Regions from separate parts of the Mus musculus genome. Here all the other regions are reported to be linked to region 7. Evidence: microRNA targets listed by miRTarBase, many of them from high-throughput screens and not tested one by one. Region 7 holds a microRNA gene; each other region holds the end of a gene's coding sequence. Distances are between the middles of the regions.
The links. The annotated mature microRNA mmu-miR-181a-5p reads AACAUUCAACGCUGUCGGUGAGU and lies in region 7 at 2,241-2,263, opposite strand. An mRNA with a match to its seed (bases 2 to 7 or 8) in the 3' UTR can be bound and repressed. Matches are read on the target gene's strand: a 7mer-m8 pairs with bases 2 to 8, a 7mer-A1 pairs with bases 2 to 7 and ends in A, and an 8mer does both.

Region 1 (3,080 bases), 11 Mb from region 7:
TATGCATACATTTAAAAAATATACACTGCAAATAGTTTCTTTTTTTTTTTTCTTGGTCTTCTGCAAAAGAAACACACATTGTGTCTTCAAATATACTTAGAGCTGTATGGTAATACTGACTTTGACTAAAAAGGGGGTACTCCTTCCAGTAAGGCAGAAAAGTGCAGTTTGTCTGATATTTTGCCTACACCAATGAAAGGATGACCCAGCACACAAGTCATTTTGTATTTTAAACAAATGCACACATACAAGTAAAACCTCTCTTCCCACGCTTACTGCCTCCAAAGGAATGCATCTGCCCAGTGTTCTGAAAAGTTCCAAGACATAGCAGAGCTGGCAGCACACAGAGCAACCGCACAAGCCACCCTTTAACTTTCAGCCCTGGAGAAGTGCTGGAACTGTGCGCATGGGTAATTGAAATGCATCCTATGAAGCAGGTACAACCAGCGAAGGAAGGAAGGAAGGAAGGAAGGAAGGAAGGAAGGAAGGAAGGAAGGAAAGAAGGAAGGAAGGAAGGAAGGAAGGCTGAAATTGTCTATTTTACTTCAAAAGGAATAAATCAACTGGCCATTAATCAGTCTTTTGTAAGTTCTGGACTTGCTATCACTTCCAGAAACTGTACAAATACATAGTTCTCATTTCACTTATTTATAATGCACACACACACACACACACACACACACACACACATATATCACATAAGGCAAATTAACTTCATGCTTTACTTCAGCAAAATGGGGGGAGGGGAGAAGCTTTCTCTGAAATTAGCACTGAGTTGTTTCAAATTCTTAATAGCAAGATACATCCAACTGTAAGCAGAATGAACATAGTCACATACATATCAATCAAATTATTTCCTTTATATCATCAGCAGTGAACCCCAGAGGTAGTATGGCAAAAACGAGCATGGATCCTATCAGGTCACAACCGACAAAGTAATTAAATTTATTTTTCCCCTGTGGTTTTGACCATAAATTGCTTTACATTTAGGATCTGAATAAACCACTCTCAGCAGAAATCCTGGCCCATTAATTTAAGTGACAATAAGTTTACAACTTTCAGGACTGCAGATATAAAAAAGGTATAAAATTATGTTCAGTTTGAAATGGTTTTTAATTGTATTCATTAAAAATATTTACATTTCCCAGGACTTCCAAAACCCCCTTGCAATATAATTCTACACTATACTCTATATATTTATAAAATGAGGCTCATTTATGAGATTTCAATGACTGCTATACTGCAAATTACTTACATTCTGTAAAATATTTTAAGAACTTTCATAGCAAAGGTAGTTTATATTGGATTATCTGAAACCCAATGGAGCCCAGAGGCGAGCCTTCGACCTTCTCCTCCATGCCTGAAGGCCTGGGCGACAAGTGCTGTGCGGGCTGGCCTGTCCCTCCTGTCCTCCCTCACTTGCGCTGTGTGCACATGGTGAAATAAACACATATGCAGCATGGCCGTGTTTTGATATGTATTTTTTATTTCCCTGCAGTTTTCACTTATCAAGAACAAGTAACAGGGAAAGTTGTCTGAACTAGTGCATAAACAAACATTCTGAAACACCACTACACGTATCTAATTTACAAGAACCGTATAAAAAAGTCACTAAACACTACGCTATGAAGGTGTCCAACACTTACAGTCAGACGGTTTCCAACCCGTTACTTGCCTTGTAGCCACAGGAAAACTCTCCAAAATTGAAAAGACAATCTCGCCACAACCCTCCCCCCTCCCAAAACCTGGGATGGCTCGATATATAGACTTCCAATAATTATTGCAATGATATGATGCAATACATACCTGGTAAATATCTTTTATGTGGTGTGTTACAGTTTTAAAGCCAGTTAAAATATGCAGTCTTCAGATAAAATGTAATCCATGAAAAATTTTCATATCTGCACAGTTTAAATGTGCTAGATGCATAATTTCCTAGTCCACTTTTTCTGTGTAATTATTTTTTATAAACTGGTATTATAAATAGAAATATACATTCAAAATATATGGAAAAGTGAGTTACTACATTAAATTTGCATGTATCGATCCATCCCTTCCCCTGCACAGTAATAGAAAATACTATTTTGCCTTGAAGTCGTATTTGACAGTGAAATGCCACTAAAGTATTTACCAAAAAGTCCATCTAGTCAAATTGTGAAACAAAATGAACCAAGTGAAAACTTTACAGTTCCTTTAGAAAAAAATTACAAGAATTTCATTTCCTAGCTATGAATCTTTAACTTTTTAGACACAAAGTTGGATTTATTTTTTTTACAAGATACAAAATGTAAACATGGCAAAATAAATAGTTAAAACAAGTGATGCAGGATCCCATTTCATGCTCATGATCCCATTAAAGAATTATTTTTAAAATCCATTCAGTTGCAAATTCAAGTGCAAAAGCATGATGATGAATATCTACTATTCAAGTAACAGAAATAATATTGATGATACAAATAAACTATTTTACAAGGTAGTGATTTTCCCAATTTTACAAAATATACATCATATATCGACTTAACATCCGGTATACTGTACTCCATTTAGGTCCATTGTTCTGCTCTGTGATCCACAGAGTGCCACCCGCCTTTGTATTCCGCTGGAATAGGAATGACTGCAACCATCCACACAGGTCAGGCCACGCGCCTTCCGTTATGTCACCTCCATAGCTACTGTTGTCTCTGCTAGTCCATTTAAACCCAGTCTTTCTGGTTCATGGTTCTCTCTGTAAGAAGGTAAAGAGGACAATAAGCATTAGTACTCCTGAGAATACACTGACCATGTATAAATCCCATTTTTAAGTAACTATAACTAAACATAATTCTAGAAAACTCCCCATTTTTATCATTTCTCGGCAGGAATGAAGAGGTTTTCTTCAGTTCAGAAATTCCATTAATTTCTAATACTAACAATAGATTAGGGAATATAACACAATTAATTCAAGTTTCTTTTTATAGGCTTAAGATCATAAACTTTTTAACCCATGCAGATCAATTTTCTTCTGCTTTACTGTTTTCCTTGCAATAGTGCTATTGAAAGGAACATAAAAACTTGCCCTGCAAAACTTGAAAATTCATCAA
Region 2 (3,078 bases), not on the chromosome of region 7:
GTGGATGCTGTGTGGCCTATGGTAGTCAGACCTTCTGGGGGGAAATGGGGCAGAGGAAGCCAAGTAAGAAGCCATTCCCCTAGGGCCACCTCCCATCTCATTGGAGTCTTAGCACTCAGGTTGATTATGTTGAGCACTGGAGAGCGCCAGGTGTCTGGCTGCTTCTCTGGTGGATTTGAGAAGGGATTTGTCATAAACAGAGTGACCTACCCCTTCCCTCCCTTCCAGCACAGCGACTCCGACTCTGACCCTGAGTACTCCTCCCTGCCACCATCCATCCCCAGTGCTGTGCCTGTGACAGGAGAGTCCTTCTGTGACTGCGAGGGCCAGAATGAGGCTACCTTCTGCAACAGTCTGCACACAGCACACCGTGGCAAGGACTGCCGGTGTGGTGAGGAGGATGAGGGTACGTGTCTTGCCGCTGGGACGTGTGGAGGGCTGGGCAGGTTCCCTGGGACCAGGCAGGCACCGTTTAGCTGTAGCCCTCCCTAGTTTAGGCCCTCTGTCTTACAGATTTTGATTGGGTCTGGGATGACCTGAACAAGTCCTCAGCCACCTTGCTGAGCTGTGATAATCGCAAGGTCAGCTTTCACATGGAGTATAGCTGTGGCACTGCAGCCATTCGGGGCACCAAGGAGCTAGGGGATGGCCAACACTTCTGGGAAATCAAGATGACCTCTCCAGTGTATGGCACAGACATGGTAAATGGCCAAGCAAGAGGGTAGATGCCATGGGCCCTGCCGCTAGGCATCTAACTGTCCAGGCCCACTATTTACAGATGGTGGGCATTGGGACGTCGGATGTAGACCTGGACAAGTACCACCACACGTTCTGCAGCCTGCTGGGCAGGGATGAGGACAGCTGGGGGCTCTCCTACACTGGTAGGTGTTGCCTGGGTCATGGGTGGGGCTGGCAGTACAGCAGACCTCCCAGGATCACCCCATTGCTCCTCGCAGGGCTCCTCCACCACAAAGGTGACAAGACGAGCTTCTCTTCACGCTTTGGCCAGGGCTCCATTATTGGTGTGCACTTGGACACCTGGCATGGGACACTGACATTCTTCAAGAACAGGAAGTGCATAGGTGAGGTACCTTTGTAGAGCCTTTAGGGGTGGGGCCAGGCAGTCTGACTTGAGGCTCCTGACAGATGAGGGAGGGTGGGCAGGCCTGAAGCAGATTGGGGTTACCAGGCCAGACCAGAGTATTTTCTGTGTTCAGACTATTTGAGCTGCTTACCGTGGTGCCTTGTAGGAGGAGCTTCCTGGCTCCCAACCCACATGGCACTCAGGCTAAGCCTTCCTCCCAGGAGTGGCTGCTACTCGGCTTCAAAACAGAAGGTTCTACCCGATGGTTTGCTCCACGGCTGCCAAGAGCAGCATGAAAGTCATCCGCTCCTGCGCCAGCTCCACATCCCTGCAGTACCTGTGCTGCTACCGCTTGCGCCAACTGCGGCCAAATTCAGGGGACACCCTCGAGGGCCTGCCCTTGCCACCTGGCCTCAAGCAAGTGCTGCATAACAAGCTGGGCTGGGTTCTGAGCATGAACTGCAACCACTGGAAATCCCCTGTGCCCCCTCCTGGCACAGCTACACCTGGTGCCGAGAGTCTGGAGACCAGGCCCTGTCAGAGGAAGCGCTGCCGAAGAAGCTGACTTCTCCCCTGGGAACGCAGATACCTTCCTCTTTCTCGCCCTTCCAGGGCAGCAGGAGAGGGAAGAACTGAGGTCCAGGCTTTTCCCTATCTCCCTGAGGCCAGGACAGTCTTCTCCGGTGACCATGGAGTGAAGGTCATTCTACTGCCTGTGCTGGTAGGGAAGCCGTACTCCTATTTGTCCTTTGAGTTGCCACGTGTCTTGGGAACTGCAGCTAGGCACCTGTGAACCTAGATTCCAAGCCCGGGAGGCTGGCCGACGAAGGGGAGTGCATTCATATCCCGGGGAGAAGATGGGCTGTCCCCACCCACGGGGCCGTGGGGCTTTCCTGACTTGCACTGCATGTTGTCAGCTCCTGCTGCAGAGATGGCAGTGGGTGCCCTGTGAAGGGGTTTTGTCTTGTCCCTCTATGTTATATCATTAAAAGAGCCTTCACAAATGCCCAAGCTGCCTGTGTCTATTGTTTATCTGTCTCTGTCCAGCGGCTTTGAGAGAGCTTGGCTTGGATCTCTGAGCACCTCTCTCTGAGGATGTAATAGTACAACTCAGCACTCAGGCCTACTACTAAGCCTCCTGCACCAAGTGGCCACTACCCTCCACTCTTCCATTCACCTCAGCTTCCCTTACCCTCTCACCCACCTCCCATGGTATTTCCATTTGACCATCAGGCAACAGAGTCTATCTACCACAGTCTGAAAAGGTATGGGCTGGACCCAAACCTCCTTGCCTGCCTCTCAGAATAATTAGATTCTTAGGCAGACTTGTCCTGTTGTACTGATGGGCAGGAGGTGACCCCAGGATGGCACAGGTCAAGAGCTCAGGTCCAGCAGGAGGTCAGGGTTGGTGGTTGTCAAGAAGATACAGATTCTGCGTGAGAGGTCAGGCCCCACTCTGCGAGGCTGCTTGCCTTTGTGGGCCTTCACAGGGAGATCAGCTAGGAGGCTCAGGCGTTCTTGCTCTGTGCTGCAGTCCAGGAGAGCCTGGAGTAGGCACAAGTGTAAGGGGTGGACGGTAAGTCCTGATCCTGGAAGGAGGGATTTAGGGGACTCACCTGTTGCAAAAGGCGGGGTGATGGGAAGGCAGTAACAACAGCGTCAGCCACAGCTGGGCTGACCCGGTTGAACTGTCTGATTTGTCGCCACCACACTCCTCTGAGCCCAGAGCCATCTCTGGTCACTTGCTGGCCTGAGGCCCAGTGCCCTGCTGTGCAGAAAGAAAAGGCCTGGGAGTCCCGGTGCTGCCTGAAATGACACCCAGACAGACGCTTTGAGAACCCCATTTGTGCAGCCCTCCGACCCTGGCCTGTGTCCACTCGGCCCCTGCAGAGATGCATACTTCGAGGGGAGCTGCGAGAGGGCCCTGGTGAAGGCACACACGTACTGACTCAGCTCCTGCCACGAAGCCATCAGCAGCACATCCAGGTTTGCAT
Region 3 (3,080 bases), 140 Mb from region 7:
TGGTATAGTGGGGTCACTGGCTAGGGAGAAACAGAATGCTCAAGACGTAGTCAGCCTTGTCTTCTCCTGTATCCTCCTGAGTTCAGCCTTGTGTGTGTGTGCTGCTTCTCTGATTGGCCTCTTTTAATCAATCCTGTCTTTCTTTCTACCTTTCTTCCTTTAAGAATCTCTGAATCTCTGCTCTACTTTCTTGGTCATGTCTGTCTGTTTATTTGTTTGTTTTATCCTGATAGACTCCTATGCTTTGCTTCTGTTTGCCTCACTGCCTTCCCTTCTCTCTCCCTAGGCCGAGCTCTGCTTCGACTGAATGCAGATAAGCTGCAGAGAATGGGGTTGACCCAAGAGGCTCAGAGGCAGGAGGTGCTGCAGCAGGTACTCCACCTGCAGGTTCGTGAGGAGGGGCGGAGCCTGAAGCTGCTCAGCCAAGGTTAGTATCAGGGACCAGGATTAGGGGGAGGGACTAGGCTGAAGGTGGAGGGTGACTTTTCTCGACACAAAAGGGGGCCATCCAGTAAGGACCATCCTTGGGTGTGCCAAAACTCAGCTTTTCCTCCTATCCATCCTACAGCTTCCTTCGGAAACATGTCCTAGCTGCTGCCTATACTTGGACCCCAGACCCCAACACTGTGACCAGAGCCCACAGCCAAGAATGAGTCAGAATTGGCCCTACAGCCCCTTTGGATCCTGCAGGATACCCTAGTGGCTAAACCTAGCCCAGTGATCAGGGAGGAGCAAGACTTCCACCTCCAGGTGTCTCTGGAGAGGCACTACAGGTTCTGCCCTGTGGCTGGGTGGGTGGTTGTTGCCTGCTTATAGACCCTTCTTCTGAGATCCAAGCCCAGGTCCCATCCCCTGGTGCTGCTGGCAGCAAACAGGGTAGCTGCCTGGAACTAGAATGGGGTTTGAATGTCCCCAGACTCCCAGGGAGTCTGTTTATTTATTCTCCCTCCAACATGTGACCATCCCCCATCTGAGTCATGAGTCTTCCCCTTAAATCTTAGTTCTGTGTCTTTCCCGGGCACCCCCAGATCAGCCACACAGTGGGCCAAGCTGTCTTGGCTCTCTTTCAAGTATATCTGTCCCCTAGCTCTCCTAGAGTACAGCAGGCCCAACCTGCTGTCCATACTAATGGTGATCAATCATCATGCCATGTGCTTACTCGGTGATTATGAAACGTCAGTATACTCTACCCACTTGTTAGAAGTGAGGTTGAGAGGGGTCCAAGATGCTCAAGCTGCAAACCCAGTAAGTGGCACGGATTCCAGTGCTGTACAGGTGACTCTATGCACAGCCCACCAGTTCAGCAATGTTCTCAATCTTACCTTTGAAGAAGTCATGCTTTTAAACAGCTTCCCTATTCCCTGGCTCTTAGTAGAGACCATATTGAAGAATGTGTGTTTGTGTCTGTCTGTCTGTCTGTGTTCATGTGCACCTCTGTGGCTTTCCCAAGAAAACCTGTTCTCAACCAAGAAAATCATGTAGGGCAGTTCTTTCATGTGTCGCCAGACACCTGGACAACCCCTCCTTGGGTATTTGGGGGCTGTTGCTGCCAGGAAGGAGGACAAGGAGGATGACCCTGGCAGCTCACTCTCACTCTGCTCTCTACCAACGTTCCCAGGGACTCTAAAATCTCAGGGACAGTTGAGGCTCAGCCTCCAGTCCCCTCTGTGTGCCAAGAGCTGGCCTCGATTCAAGGTTGCTCATTACAGTTAATTTGGGCCATTGGCCTGGCATCTTCCATCCTGTATGCCCTCCATCCATGGAAGGGGGCTCCCTTATTGTGTTTGCCTGCCTCTAGAATCCCCCAGTCCTGGTGCCTGCAGCCAGAGGGCCCTCTCTGTCCCCCCTCTCTCTGTCTTTTCTTCCCTATGCCCCTGTCCTTTCTTCCTTGGTTTTTGGTCACTTTTTATATATACTCTGACAAAAAAAAAATCAGAAATAAATCTGGTTCTCAAATGCCTCAGTGTTGGGTCTCTGGGGAGCAAAGGGGTGTCTAGGACAGTGCCTGCAGATAGAACACCACTAGAGGGCAGTGGTGTTGCATCCTGAGAAAGCTACCTGGTAATTCCAGGACATCAGAACAAACAAGATGTCTCAAGTAAAAAAATAAAAAAATAAAACATCCTTGTCGCAGAGAGAGAAAGAGAGAGAGAAAGAGAGAGAGAGAGAGAGAGAGGGAGGGAGGAAGAAACTTAAAAAGTAAAACATGTCTCAAGTCCTTGGATATCATCCCAGTTTGGGACATAGCAACCCTGACAGGCTCAAAACAATAGTTTGGACACATGGAATGAGGCTTTCTGGAGCTGATCTAGCAGCGAATTTTTGCTGGTTCATGGTCTGGGAGTATAGCTCAGTGATATTGGACATGGTTTGTGTCCCAAATCACGGTTTGATCCCCAGCAAAGAAACAGAAACAGAGGTGTTCTAAAAGTGGAGCAGAGTTCTTTATCTATTCAGCTTTGTAGTGGCTGTCTAGTATTCCTGAGCTAGAGGCTATATCACAAATCTATTTCTGTGGTCATTCTCGTCTGCCTCTCAAATATCTTCTTTAAATTTAGGGTTCACTTAGTCCAAATAGATCTCAGAAACGTCAGTTACATCTACAAAGACCCCTTTTCCAAATAAACTATCACTACAGCTTAACATGGTTATTTGTTGGGGCTTACTCTTCAGCCATACCCTGACATCCATAGCACATGAATCACACACTCTGAACACAATAACCAGACATTCAAATAGGAACATTGAGGTATAGGCCACAAACATAGTGACACAACACCCAGACATGCTTAAATATGTACAAACACACTTGCACAATTGGCCAATGATCTGTGCAAAGATTTATAACATCCCCATATGCACAGATATAATTACCCAAGTGCATAAATACAATACATAATCACTAACACTAGACATGACATAACCCATGGTGCACATAAGTGCATTGCAAAATGTCTTGACACTTAGATACACACATAAAGAAAAATTGCAGGGAGGTGGGGCTAGAGAGAGAGAGAACACAGTTGCTGTTCTTGCAGAATTGAGTTTCCAGCACCCTCTTCAGGCAGTTCACAGCTTCA
Region 4 (3,080 bases), not on the chromosome of region 7:
CTTAAAGCTCACTGTTTACAGTAGGAGTGATTGAATTATGCAGCCCAACTTGGGATCTCCCGTTAAAATAATTGATAAGACTACCTTCTTATCAATTATTGTTCATCAATTGACCAGTTTCCAGTCTCACATTGTACAAGCAACTTTTGGTAATTAAACAACACTTGGATAACTCTGTATCATTTGCTAGTGTTAGCTTGGTAGGTTTCTTCCCATCTCTTTTTTATAATGAACTTTTATTTTAGAATAAATTTTAAGTTTACAGAAATTACAAAAGTAATACAGGAATTGGGCACACTATGCCCAGTTTCCCCTATTGCTAGATTCCACACCTCAAATTCATTTGTTAAAAGTAAGAAATTGACATTGCTCTAATATTCTGAACTAAGCCGCAGATGTGGGCGCTTTTTCTCACTAATGTTTCCGGTGCGCCATAGCGTAACCCAGAGCATCATGTTGCATTTGTCTTGCTTTTTTACCCATCCTGTCAAGAGCTGTTTATTGGGTTTATGATGCCCATTTGCTTTACCACACAACTGAGGTTCAAAAAAACAAAACAAAAAGCCAAACCAAACTAAACCAAACCAAAACAACAACAACAACAACAAAAAAAAAAAAAAAAAAACTGGGCAGTGGTGGCCCACGCCTTTAATCCCAGCACTTGGGAGGAAGAGGCAGGTGGGTTTCTGAGTTCGAGGCCAGCCTTGTCTACAGAGTGAGTTCCAGGACAGCCAGGGCTACACAGAGAAACCCTGTCTTGAAAAACCAAAAAAAGAGGTTCAGTGAGTCAAATAACTTGCTTACATTAACACTGAGGTGCCAGGACTAGGACCCATAGGAATCCAAACCAGCATTGTGCAAGAACCAGGGATACCCCTGGTGCTTCTGTAGTCACTTGAGGACCCTGCTCTGCCATCTCCCCTACAGAGCTGCTGGTCTTTGGGAAGAGTCCCACTGTGGCAGATTAGTTTTGTCTCCAGCGTTTAACTGAGCCAGGGGTTGCTTGTTTATTTCTTTCTGGAAGCTGGTCCCTCAAAGGATTACCAGGATAAGAGATGCAGTTTTTATCCTCTCACATGTAAGCATATTTATGTTTGTTTATTTGTTTTGTTTATTATTATTTTCACATAGCTGGTGATTCACAGTCTCTGGGCAGCATATTTAGAGAACCTGTTCCCTGGGCCTCCAGACCAGCACCAGCCCACACTCCACTCTAAATCCCACAACAAATAGGTACTCGAAAGGGGAAAGTAGCACATTGTGTTTGCTAATCATTAGAATTTGAACACTTTAGTTGGGTGTGGTGATACACGCCGTCACACGCCGTTAATCTCCTCACTAGGGAGGCAGAGGCTGAGGCAGGCTCTTCTCTGTGAGTTCAAGGCCAGCCTGGTCTACAAAGAGAGTTCCAGGACAGCCCAGGGCTGTTTCACAGAGAAACCCTGTCTCCAAAACAACAACAACAAAGACAAAAAAGACAATTTTATCCATTTGTTTTGGGGTTTTTGTTTTTCTCAGTTACTTATTATTAAATTGAGGTCTTTTTTGTTAGATAATAGAAGCTTTTTGAATTATGTTTATGTATTAACCACGTTTTTCTTTGCCATGTATGCTATTTGTTTTTTAAACAAATGAGAACTACATACATATTGTTCCCCAGACAATAAATTTCCCTTTTGACTCTGCCATGTTTGTTTTTACTTGATAACTTATTGAGTGCCTCATCTTTTCCTGCCTGGATTTATAATATCTTCCTTAAACCTTCCCCCTTCATATCACCCTGGTGGCACTACAAGCAAATATTCTACTTTCTCTTCGAAGACTTCTGTCCCTATTCTGATACAAGCGTTGGTTTTCTGGAGTCTTGTGCTGGGTGTGAGCTGCTAGGAAGCAAGTTGATTCCACGCCTTTCCTAAACCCAGCAGGCTTTGTACATTCCACGGGACTGGAAGCTTGACTGTTCCTGTGGCTGCACGCCTGTTTAGATTTAGTGCTAGGCTTATTCTCTTCCGGTATCTGCTTCTTCCCCCTTGTCAGGATTCACATGTTACTTATAGAAGCAATGCAGTGCTGAGCCTGGACAAGAGGAGAGTTGCCTTTCAACCACCAGAGGAGGAGTGTCCCTAGCCCAGTCAGGACTTCCTTCTCTCAGTAGTTGGGGTGGATAAGAAGGACCTAGCTGCTTGTAAAATAAAGCCTTCCCTTTTATTTCAAATCAGCCCTCTTCCAAGTTAGTGCCATAGGTTGAGATCGCTGGGGTATGGCAGGAAACAGGGACGTGCCTGTACCTGCCTCCAGCTTCATCCCTCCAAGGACAGGACTGGCAGCCAGAGGTGAGGAACACCAGGCTGTATAGGTCAGCCCCCTTCCCAGCCACCCCTGGTCCCTGTTGTGCCACCTCAGCAATCCCCTGTGCTAAGGAGAAATGGGGATGGGGGGGTGGGTGTTAGGGCCAGAGCAGGTTGCCATCCTAAGTGAGATGTCCATAGCCAGCAGTGTTAGTGGTCAGAGCCCAGTCAAGGTCAGGTTAGTGGGGCCTTCTCCAGCAGCCAGGAAAGGAGCTAGAGAGAGGGAGAAATGAAGAGCTGATATTCACTGGAGACCCTCCCATGGACATCCACCCAACATAAGAGAGCTACAACTACTGTAGGGGAGAGCCAAGACCCAACTGTACACATTGAAGGTTACCATAGAGGAGAGGCAGGCTCCAGACTGGAGGGGAGGCTCAGATGGAAGACTGCCACTGCACAAAGCGTTTGGATTCCTGGCAGGATAACCAGGGCAGGAAAGACACTCAGAATCTGTTGTGTACGTGGGGGCCCTTCTCTCCTCCCTCGGGCCCAGGCTTCCAGACCCCAGCCTCCTCCCTCATGGCCAAGACTCATCCCTGTTCCCCTAGGACCTCAGACCCAGAGGTCCAGTCTCATTTCTCTTCTTCTCAGACCCGAGAATGCAATACTCATTTCCCCTTCCAAGAGACCCAGGAGCTCAGGCCCCAGGCCTCCTCCCTTCACACCAGGATACCTGAGGGTTGAAAGGGTCATCGTCATCTGTGTCATCGTAGTCATCACTGAAGTGTG
Region 5 (3,080 bases), not on the chromosome of region 7:
GGCTTCTGATGTGAGAGGATCTAATGTAGGTTTTCCTACAAGCATTTAAATTTGTTTTTGTTTTTGTTTTGTTGAGTTTCTGATGCAGAATATATTAGATCTGATGACACAGGAGTAAGAGCTCTTCCCATTATTCCAGACTATGTGCTCATTAGCACGACCCTCTCCTTGCCAACCCCCATCCCCCAGGAACAGTGATGATCCTATACGGCAGGACTGCCCTCTGATGGCCATGGATAAAAGCCAACCTCTCCTAAATTTGCATCTAAACCAGTGGCTCTCAACTTTCCTAATGCTGCGACTCTTTAATACAGTTCTACTCATGTTGTGGTGACCCCCAACAAATTACTTTGTTCATATTTCAAAACTAATTTTGCTACTGTTATAAATCATAATGTAAATATCTGTTTCCCGATGGTCTTAGGAGACTCCTGTGAAATGGTTATTCAACGCCCCCCCCCCCCCAAAAGGGTTGCAACCCACTGCTCTATACCTAATCCCAGAATTCTGACTGTAAGGAAGTAGCCAGGGCAAACACTATAGTAAATATTCATACCAAAAGCAAGTATGTGTTTTATCAATGCAGACTCATGTCAGTTTTTGAAATGTCTTAAGAAAACACTTGGTTTTCAAGAGTCAAGTCCCCATAACTCCACAGAAATGTGTCTTTGTCCTTAAAACTGCATTTATCTTGTCTTTCTTCCCCCAAAGGAAACTGGACAGAGAGGTCAGAACTGGATTTGTTATTCATACATTTGCATTGATTTAAATACAATACATACAATTTCTACAGTGCATTAGAAGAACAGGGCAGCAGCGCTCACCAGCCAGCTTCAGCTCCTAGACACAGGGGACAGGCCTAAGGCTGGCAGAGGGGCGGCTGTTCTGAAGTACCTGACACTCTGGGCTCCTGGCACTCCCAAGTCCACATTCAAGGCAACTTGAGTACAAGCTTCGAGGGAGGGAGGCAGGTAAGGCTGCCTGCACCCTTGCCCACTGGGCCTGGCACCGGCCCCCTCTTCCATTGGACCCAATTTCCTCCTGATGGCAAACCTGGTCTGGGGCAGGACTAAGTTCTCTCCAGCACTCCAGGGGGAAGTCTCGCCACCCGGCTGGTGTGGAAACATCTGTGAAGACCGGCACACACCTGGACCCCTGCTGGCTCCTGTGGCGAGGAGAGAGAGAGATTCTCTCAAACAAGGTTCTGAGGCCAGAGTCCACGTGGGCTGGATGGGATTGTCAAGATGGGGCAAACAACAGCGACTGTCCATTGGGCATGCATATCCAGTGCTTGGAGATTCATGTTGCTGAGTGAAAGCCCATAGCAAGCTGGCTCCTGGGTTGGAATGGGCAGGGAGCAGCCTGCCACACCTGACAGAAGGCTGTCTTCAGCCCTGCCTCTAGGCGGTGGGAGCCCGGCAAGCAGCTGAGGCACAGTTGTGCTCCTCACTCCAGGTCTTTGGTTGTTTCACGCCTTCAGGACATTTCTTTCCAAGGCTGACTGACCAACTGTAGAGTGTGAGAACACTCAAGGGTCCACAGCACAGGGTGTGACCACTGCCGCTGCCTACGGCCTCTCGGCCCCCTTTTCACTCCCTCCTGAAGTCAGTTCTCTGCTTTGGTGTAGAAAGGGTTCAAACACCTGGCAAGGGAGAAGACATGGAAGCAGGAAGATGCACGCTGAGCTGGGCAGGCACTGGGGAACTGTCCGAAGGCCTCTCTTCAAGAAGCTGAGAAGAAACCATCCCAAGACGGAAGGCAGGAGCCAAGGGGCACGCCGGTTAGGGGGCAGAACACGGTCCTGTTCTCTCCAGGCAGCAGCAGTTAACACATGAAGAACAGAGATGCTGTCCTGGCTGCCCATGAACCTACTGACCCACAACACCTACTGAGAGCCACTCCAGAACCCAAACTGAACTTCTCATTTTAAAATGGGGGAAACTAGACTACCAAACAGAAAGGTAGGGAAGGCCGCAACTAAGGACCAGGAGTGAGGCTGTGCCAGGCTCCCACAGAACCCTCCTAGCACCCAGCATGCAACCAGGCCAAGTCAATCACCTCCGCGTCACACAACCACTCCTGGCAGAGCACACTGCCAAGGCTAGCCCCTCCCACCTCAGATGAGTGCCGGGCAAGTTACAGCAGGGCAGAGAAAAAGCCTGTGTGCAGAGCCTTAGAGGAGCAGAGCATGAACCTGCTCACTGCCACACGAAGTCAGTACCAGTGTGGCAAGAGGAGGCTCAATTTGGCAAAACCAGAAAGGAATGGCTTCTGTCCGTGGGCCAGCGATGGACCTCTGACCGCTCAGTTCATGGAGTAAACAAGTGCTAGGTATCAGAGCGCCTGTGTCTGAGCAAATTTAGGTTCTAGATTAAGGGCTTCTGATGTCAGAGGATCTAATGTAGGTTTTCCTACAAGCATTTAAATTTGTTTCTTTTGTTTTTGTTTTGTTGGTTTCTGATGCAGAATATATTAGGTAACCTGGATGGAGAGGGTTGTCAGGGAGAGATGGGACTTTCCCAACCAGCCACCAAATGCTAGGAGGGAGTGGCTCCTCCTCAGCCGCCTGAGCTCCTTGCCTGGACAGGAGCCTCCCCAACACTCTGAAGGTCCAGGAACACTCTTGTCCCCCCATTGTGCTTCTCCCTGTGGGTAGGAAAGCCCTGAGGGAGGTGACAAGCAAAGAGGAAGGGCTCTGAAAGGCTCTGCTGTGCGCCCGCCAGCTTCTCTGGCTTCTGCGAACCTGGGACTCCAGGCTTCCTCCCAGCCTGTCACCTGCAGGATTTCTTCTGCCTGCCTCTGGGGCTACCACCATGAAAAGAAGGGCTTCCGACTCTGAAAGCTCTGTGTGTAGGATTCGCTTGCAGACCGCTGGTGAGAGCGGGCCGTCTCGACAATCACAGGTGGCATCTGGACGAGGTGCAGGGGGCTCTTATTGTCTTTCAGGGCCTGGGTCAAATTTAGGATCTGCATTGAAAAGAGAAAAGGTGAAAGGCCTAGTATTCTAAGCCTGCCTCTGCAGTGTCATCCTTCATGTCAAAAACAAATGCCAGCGGAAGTACCATGGAAGCAGGCTAGTT
Region 6 (3,080 bases), not on the chromosome of region 7:
CAAACACATGGACAGTTTACCACAGAGAACATACATATCAAAGGCCAGCAAAGTGAGCAAGCTATTCACACAAACTCAGGAGGCATTATGACTAAATCTCCAGTTGATGAGCAGGAGACTGCACCTCACCTCTGCAGAAATGGAGAGTAACTCAAAGCCGCGACAAGTAGACCTTCGAGCTAGCGATTTGTAAACAGCCTGTGTCTTAAGTCAGCGAACTAGAAACATTCATTTATCCTGCGTAGACAGAGCACCGCACTTCTACATACAAGGTCATTCACATCATATGTCAGTCTACATACAAATACACAGCTTGTCAGAAAAGTAAACACAGTTCTCAAGAAGTAAGACAGCTGTGTTTGGCTGTACAGTGAGTGTCTTTAAGAGAGGAAACAACTTAGTCAACACTTGAAGGAAAAGGAGTTACATTTACAATAAGACAACGATTTAGATACCTTTATATTTTAAATCTTGAGCGAGAAGTAATACAGCATGTCTGAGGAGTGCTTCAAACTGGGTTTTGGCATGGCTGAGTACAAACTCAAGAGCCTCGATGTGTTATGACTTCCTGTTGTAAAACGATGAAAATACACTAGGACTTGAACTCTGTCTCTAAAGCCATTTATTATTTCGGGGGGTGGAGGGGGAGCTGCAAAGCTGCTTCTCTCAGGCTTTCCTGCACCTGTTCCTCTTCATCCTGGCTACACCCAGCTGACACGTTGGTATGTTTGAAGGGTGTCACTTCTCTTGTCTGGAGCTGTGGGGTGAGCTTGAAGAGGGCAGATGCTTTGCTTAATGGGTTCAGATGGATATGGGGCCCAGGCAGACTATTTACCGTCAGTCATCAGCTCTTGGGTTAGTTCTGAAATACAAAATCACCTTTGGAAAATTCCATTAGGTGTATCTGGCAGCAATGAACTCGCAACTGAAACCCTTTGTGAAATGGCCAAGGCCCAGCTGATGGAGCAGTCTCCCAGTGCATGTTTGCATAGCTCGGTACCAGAGCGGTTTGTAATTGAGCCTGTTTGCAGTCAGTTGACAGTTCTATGTGGTATACAACACTATTTCTCTAGCCTTCAGGGCATAGCTGTGAACAAATATAATCCAAATAGGAGTAACTGGGTTGTGACTGCTGCATGCATTCCATGGAACGAAAACACCAACTCTACGCACACACAGACTAGCCCTACAATTTGGCTCAGCTATCAGAGGAGAGGGCAGCTCCCTCAACGCAATGTTATCTAAGTCAGAGACTTGTCAAAATTCTCACTGCAGTCCTGGCTTGTATAAAACATCCACGAAGACATGGAGTGAGCATGAGTGTCAGTCCTTCCCATTCACCTTCCACACAAGCCAGAAAGGAGCAAGAGCCACAGCTGCCTGTGGCTTAGCCTCAGTCCTCCCTAGACCCTGCCTTCTGGCGACCATTTGAGATTTGAGTGTCTCATGTGTTTTGAGCACATCTGTAACAAAAGCTAGTTCTAGACTTTTCTTTTTGCCTTGTGTACTCTAAAACAAGGTGCTCAGATGTAGGCTCCTGGAGAAGTCGGCCACAGCGCTGGTCCCTGAAGGAGAAACACTCTTGCCAAGCCCTTCTGAGATACTCACAATTCTGCCAGCAGCTGATCTTCATTCCCTAAATGGCCGTGCTAAGTAAGGGTGAGCTGGCCTGCCTGAAGCAGGGCCAGTGCTCCCCAAAGGGCTCGGAAGCTTCTGTTCTTGACCCCAAAGGGCAGGAAGGGTGAGATTAGGTACAGCACAACAAACCTATTAGGACAGCCAGGGACCCAGAACTGAAGAAGCCGTACTCTTCCTCCCTCTTCCCTGATGCCCACCAACTTTCTTCCTGTTGCTGGAACACTGCACTCCTGCCTCCGCTCTGACCTACCAACCACTCAGCCGCCAGAAGCACACCACCGCCTTCCTGCAGGAGAAGGGATGCCTTACTGGCACTGCCTTTGTAAGGAAGTTGGAGACATTGCCTAGAATTAAAATATTTGTCTACATTTTTGTTTTTGCAGCTCTCTCACCAGAACTTCTGGCAGCCCTTGCGAGTTCATTACATTAAGCCAAAAGCTGTAACTATGTACACCATAGTCCAATGTATTAGTACCAAGAACAACAAAAGGGTTTTTAAAAAAGATCACGTCGTTTGCATTTACAGGACTAAAAACTATGCAACAAACAAATTACAAATGTACATCTCAGCAGCATCATGGAAAGAGTGCTTATAGATCTAAAAACACTGCGGCCACAATGACAATCCAATTGGGGAAAATCACTAACCCCAGAAGACGTAAAGGTCACCCTCCACCACCACCTTTTCCCTTTAGCCTCTCCCCAGCAGGAACAAAAAGGAAAGAACAGAAGAGTCTTAAAGGCAGAAGAGGGGAGCGAGTAAAGGCCATGTCCGTGGGCTGCACACTCGAAGCACACCCAGCCTGCGGACTTCCATGGTACTAGTGACTAGCTCTTTAAGGCAGAGGAGACAGACATGTGTGGATCCGGGGCTGTTGGCTCATCTCACGTGGTTTCAGTGGCCGAGGATGAGGTACTTTTCTTCCTGAAGCGGGATCGTAGGGTTCTAGGCGGTGCCTGAGAGAGAAAGCAGAGAGAGGGGCTTGAGGGTGGAATCTTGGGGAACAGCGTCAGGTAGGGGTACTTGAGCCAGCTCCCTCTGTTGTTGGGTAGAGCTGGGTTCCCTACAACAGGAATCAGATTCTAGCGTTGCACCCTGTGAGGTGAGGCTGAGGCCCCCCGGGAAGGCCACTGCTCCTTCCTGAGGCTGAAGAGAAGGAAGGGCATACAGAATGGCATGGCTTCCTTGCTTCAGGGGACAGCTCCAGCCCTTGGCTGAGTTTTATAGTTCCTATGGGAACTTTTTTCTGGCGTGTGCTTTCACACAAACGTCCAGTCTCTGTTCTCTTTTACTCTCCAGCAAGCCACACCTGGAAGGCCACCACTACCTCATCTCCCTGAAGATGATTGCAGAGACCTTTTCTCTCAGAGGAGGCACAAACCACAGGAGGCATCACGATAGAAATGAAAGAAATGACATCCTCCCAGCATGTCACCGAATG
Region 7 (3,080 bases):
GCTGTTTTTCTTGTTATAAGAACGTATCTTGGGAAAGTAAGAATAGATGGTTTTGGCCAGGAGAGGTTTTTTTTTTTTTTTTAATGTGTCTAAACAATAAAAACCAAAGTATTCATACGAAGACATACAGTCATTCAAAAGAATGAGAAAGGATCGATGGCAATGGGGAGATGACTTCTTCAGTGAGTGTTCACCATGGAAACATACAGACTTGAGAAAGTGGAGACAGATGCCTCCTGGAACTTGGTTGCCTGCTGGCATGCCTCAGGTTTGACAATGAAGTGGAGAGTGATTAAGGAAGACACCTAACACCTACCCTGGCTTACACATGCACCAAAATATGTACATGTACACTAACATAAAGTACAGGTGCTGCAGTTATTAGTAGACTGCTTGCCTATCACATACAAAACCTTGGTTTCAATACCAGGCTTGGTGATACACACTTGTGATCCTAGTTAGGAGAACATAGGATCAGAAATTCAAGGCCACTTTCAGCTACCTAGCATAGGATATGTAAGACTATGTCTCAAAAACAATTAACAAATAGCCAAAATAATAGTAAATGTGGTTTGTTAAGCTTAAAGTATATAGCTGAGTGTAAAGGTAAATTGAAGAGCAGTGAGTTCCTTTTGTTGCCATTGAACTTCCCCTGAATTACAGTTTTGCCTCTGTTTTTATACATGTAGATAAGTCTTCAAAGGTATAAAATTTTTCTTTATGTTGTGTGAGTAATACTATTAAATGGATGTTTTTATGTAGTTTTCATAGAAGGAATGTATTTGAGATGAGGATAGATTTAAATTCTTTTCATATACTTTTATTTTAAAATAATTATGTATATTTAAGTATTATTTTTAAATATTATGATGTCAAGGCATATTAATCCTTTTGCCTGTGATAATATAAATTTCCCAAAACTTGGAATATTTGAGAAGAAAATAAAAAATACTAGGAATTATAGAGCTTCTTCCATATTAGAAGCAAAGAAACTAAAGAGACTTTAGATAAAAGATTGAGGTCCCACCTGGAGCAGTACTTCCGTACTCTGGTGACTCTCTGGGAGTACTTTTGTTTCTTTGCGTTTTTTGGCCCGCAGTTTGCATTCATTGATCAGTGAGTTGGTTGACATTCAAACCCACCGACAGCAATGAATGTTGAGTGCAGCCATCAATGTTTCCTTTTGATGAAATTGTCTTGGTCTTTTCTATCTCCTGGCTCTTCTTCCCACTATGGTTCTTTGAAGTCTGTTGTATGTTAGTAACTAGTCATCTGTATGGTTGTGGACTCATAATTATAGATCACCTTGACTGTATAGCAAGAACTTGTTCAAGACAGAAAAGTTGTGAGGAAGAAGGCACTATGTGAGAACCTTGTAAGTAGCTCTGATCACATGGGCTGAGACTTGGATGTTGATGTCTGTAAAGGAGCCCTCAGAGACATTGCTTCATCTTTTGTTTCAAGCTGAGACGTTAAGTGCCCTTTTCAAGGTAAAGCAGTATAGATTATGATTGCAGTTAAGTAAAAATTTTTGTAGTAAACATTTGCTGTGAGCCAGAAACTGTTCAAAGTACCCTCATATATCTTCTCATTAAATTAAAACTCTGAGGTTCTCTCCTCTCCTATTCTACATTTGAGAAAACATACTTGGATACGGAGGCTCAGAGATGACCCAGAATTCCTTAAATTAGCACATGGAGATGGAAATGTATCTGGTTCTCTCATGGAGATGTCAAATCCCTAACCGCAGTAACTGAAACTGGAGGCACAATATGATTTGTATAGACAGTGAGTAACTCTGTGAGTATTTTTGCTGAGTAAATCTCTTGACCCTAAAGCAAAAATTTGAAAGGACGTAGAAGAAATGAGAATAAAAGACTTAACTAGATTTTTTTCCTACAGTAAATAGACATTTTTAATACACCCTATTTCTGACTAGAATGACACATTTCTAGAAGATATTTGAGTGCATTTGGTACTATGATGGCACTTCCCATAAATTGTTAAAATGAAACACTTATTTATCAAGAAATTACAAAAAATAGACAATATAAATACATGGAAGCTTAAAAAAAAAACTTGCTGGTTCCCTTTAGAAAAGAGGCCACAGGACTGTATCTTGTGATGTCTGTCACATGATATATCTGTACAGCCTACTCCTTTGCTTCAGGAAACTTGTTGTCTGTAAGAATCCCAAGGTACAGTCAACGGTCGGTGGTTTTTTTGTTTTTGAATCCCAAACTCACCGACAGCGTTGAATGTTCCATGGAGTCCTCTTAAGGCTGGCTTGGTTGCCCATCTTTGGCCTGCTCTCATATTCTAAGGACCACTGCTGTTGGGTCTCTCACATTCTTCCCAAAATTTCAAGTTAACAGTACTTACACTGTGAAGTTAGTTTGCATAAAGCAGAAATGAGCTGCAGGATTGTGAGACTGCAGTTTACATTGCTGACTAAAAGTGGATATCTGTGGAAATATTTTTCAATGCTATCATTCTGAAAACATCAATATAGCAATTTTGTAGTAATACTTTAATTATTAATGTACAAAAACAAGAAAGACCATAACACATGCTGGGGACTTATGTGTAGTAGGATTTGTATATTTAATTCCAACCGTGTTTTCCTTAAGAAACAGAGACTTACCCGGAGTTCCATAGCCAGAACTTGAACACCAGAGTTCATTGTTCCAGTATTGGTTGGATATGTTGCTTTCTCCTTCCTTTACCAGTCTCAGATTTGAACCTTTACTGCAGAGCTAAATCAAACAAGCAAATTCCTTCTTGTTTGCCTGTAATAGTAGAAAATACATCTAAAGTCATATATTTCAGAGAAAAAGATGAAAAACAAAACTCAGTAGCTGAGAATCATGGGCTGCTAAATTACCACAGAAGTGCTAGTGATGCTCCATGATTTTTTTTCCCCATATAGGAAAAGTAAAAATTCTATGTGTACTAGAGCACAGAGAGTGTATCTGGAGAGATGACTCAGCAGATAAGAACTTGTACTTTTCTAGGCGGGACTTTGATCCCAGCACCTGTCTTAACCACAATCTGTAACTACCAATTCTTGCTGCAGGGAT

Region 1: the mRNA of Epc2 is a reported target of mmu-miR-181a-5p. Seed matches in the 3' UTR shown: 8mer at 1,993-2,000 and 7mer-A1 at 1,253-1,259.
Region 2: the mRNA of Eme2 is a reported target of mmu-miR-181a-5p. The part of its 3' UTR that is shown has no 7-base or 8-base seed match.
Region 3: miRTarBase lists Samd10 as a target of mmu-miR-181a-5p. Seed matches in the 3' UTR shown: 7mer-m8 at 904-910.
Region 4: miRTarBase lists Ttyh1 as a target of mmu-miR-181a-5p. Seed matches in the 3' UTR shown: 7mer-A1 at 1,932-1,938.
Region 5: the mRNA of Pi4k2a is a reported target of mmu-miR-181a-5p. Seed matches in the 3' UTR shown: 7mer-m8 at 928-934.
Region 6: miRTarBase lists Reep1 as a target of mmu-miR-181a-5p. Seed matches in the 3' UTR shown: 7mer-m8 at 225-231.

Annotation. Positions count from the first base shown.
Region 1 is chr2:49,549,571-49,552,650 of GRCm38, reverse strand. It overlaps Epc2 (enhancer of polycomb homolog 2), which reads right to left. Exons shown (of 14, transcript NM_172663.4): 14 at 1,042-2,725. The coding sequence ends at 2,653. Among named protein-coding and RNA genes, the nearest start is that of Kif5c, 68 kb to the left of the region's middle.
Region 2 is chr17:24,890,055-24,893,132 of GRCm38, forward strand. Eme2 (essential meiotic structure-specific endonuclease subunit 2) reads right to left here. Exons shown (of 8, transcript NM_001163102.1): 6 at 2,985-3,078; 7 at 2,701-2,890; 8 at 2,098-2,629. The coding sequence ends at 2,459. Spsb3 (splA/ryanodine receptor domain and SOCS box containing 3) reads left to right here. Exons shown (of 7, transcript NM_001163751.1): 3 at 229-406; 4 at 514-701; 5 at 779-881; 6 at 957-1,082; 7 at 1,306-2,093. The coding sequence ends at 1,649. Among named protein-coding and RNA genes, the nearest start is that of Eme2, 3.5 kb to the right of the region's middle.
Region 3 is chr2:181,594,094-181,597,173 of GRCm38, reverse strand. It overlaps Samd10 (sterile alpha motif domain containing 10), which reads left to right. Exons shown (of 5, transcript NM_172676.3): 3 at 1-2; 4 at 287-427; 5 at 569-1,959. The coding sequence ends at 591. Among named protein-coding and RNA genes, the nearest start is that of Zfp512b, 3.2 kb to the right of the region's middle.
Region 4 is chr7:4,133,347-4,136,426 of GRCm38, reverse strand. It overlaps Ttyh1 (tweety family member 1), which reads right to left. Exons shown (of 14, transcript NM_021324.6): 12 at 3,025-3,070; 13 at 2,689-2,764; 14 at 1,020-2,561. The coding sequence ends at 2,726. All of the region lies in intron 1 of D030047H15Rik (RIKEN cDNA D030047H15 gene), which reads left to right. Among named protein-coding and RNA genes, the nearest start is that of D030047H15Rik, 2.0 kb to the left of the region's middle.
Region 5 is chr19:42,119,680-42,122,759 of GRCm38, reverse strand. It overlaps Pi4k2a (phosphatidylinositol 4-kinase type 2 alpha), which reads right to left. Exons shown (of 9, transcript NM_145501.2): 9 at 542-2,967. The coding sequence ends at 2,806. Among named protein-coding and RNA genes, the nearest start is that of Avpi1, 7.8 kb to the left of the region's middle.
Region 6 is chr6:71,807,306-71,810,385 of GRCm38, reverse strand. It overlaps Reep1 (receptor accessory protein 1), which reads right to left. Exons shown (of 7, transcript NM_178608.4): 7 at 1-2,595. The coding sequence ends at 2,585. Among named protein-coding and RNA genes, the nearest start is that of Mrpl35, 15 kb to the left of the region's middle.
Region 7 is chr2:38,851,924-38,855,003 of GRCm38, reverse strand. It overlaps Mir181a-2 (microRNA 181a-2), which reads right to left and starts at 2,269; the gene lies at 2,194-2,269. All of the region lies in intron 3 of Nr6a1 (nuclear receptor subfamily 6, group A, member 1), which reads left to right. It overlaps Nr6a1os (a long non-coding RNA gene), which reads right to left. Exons shown (of 7, transcript XR_866167.2): 3 at 2,645-2,789. Mir181b-2 (microRNA 181b-2) reads right to left here and starts at 1,174; the gene lies at 1,086-1,174.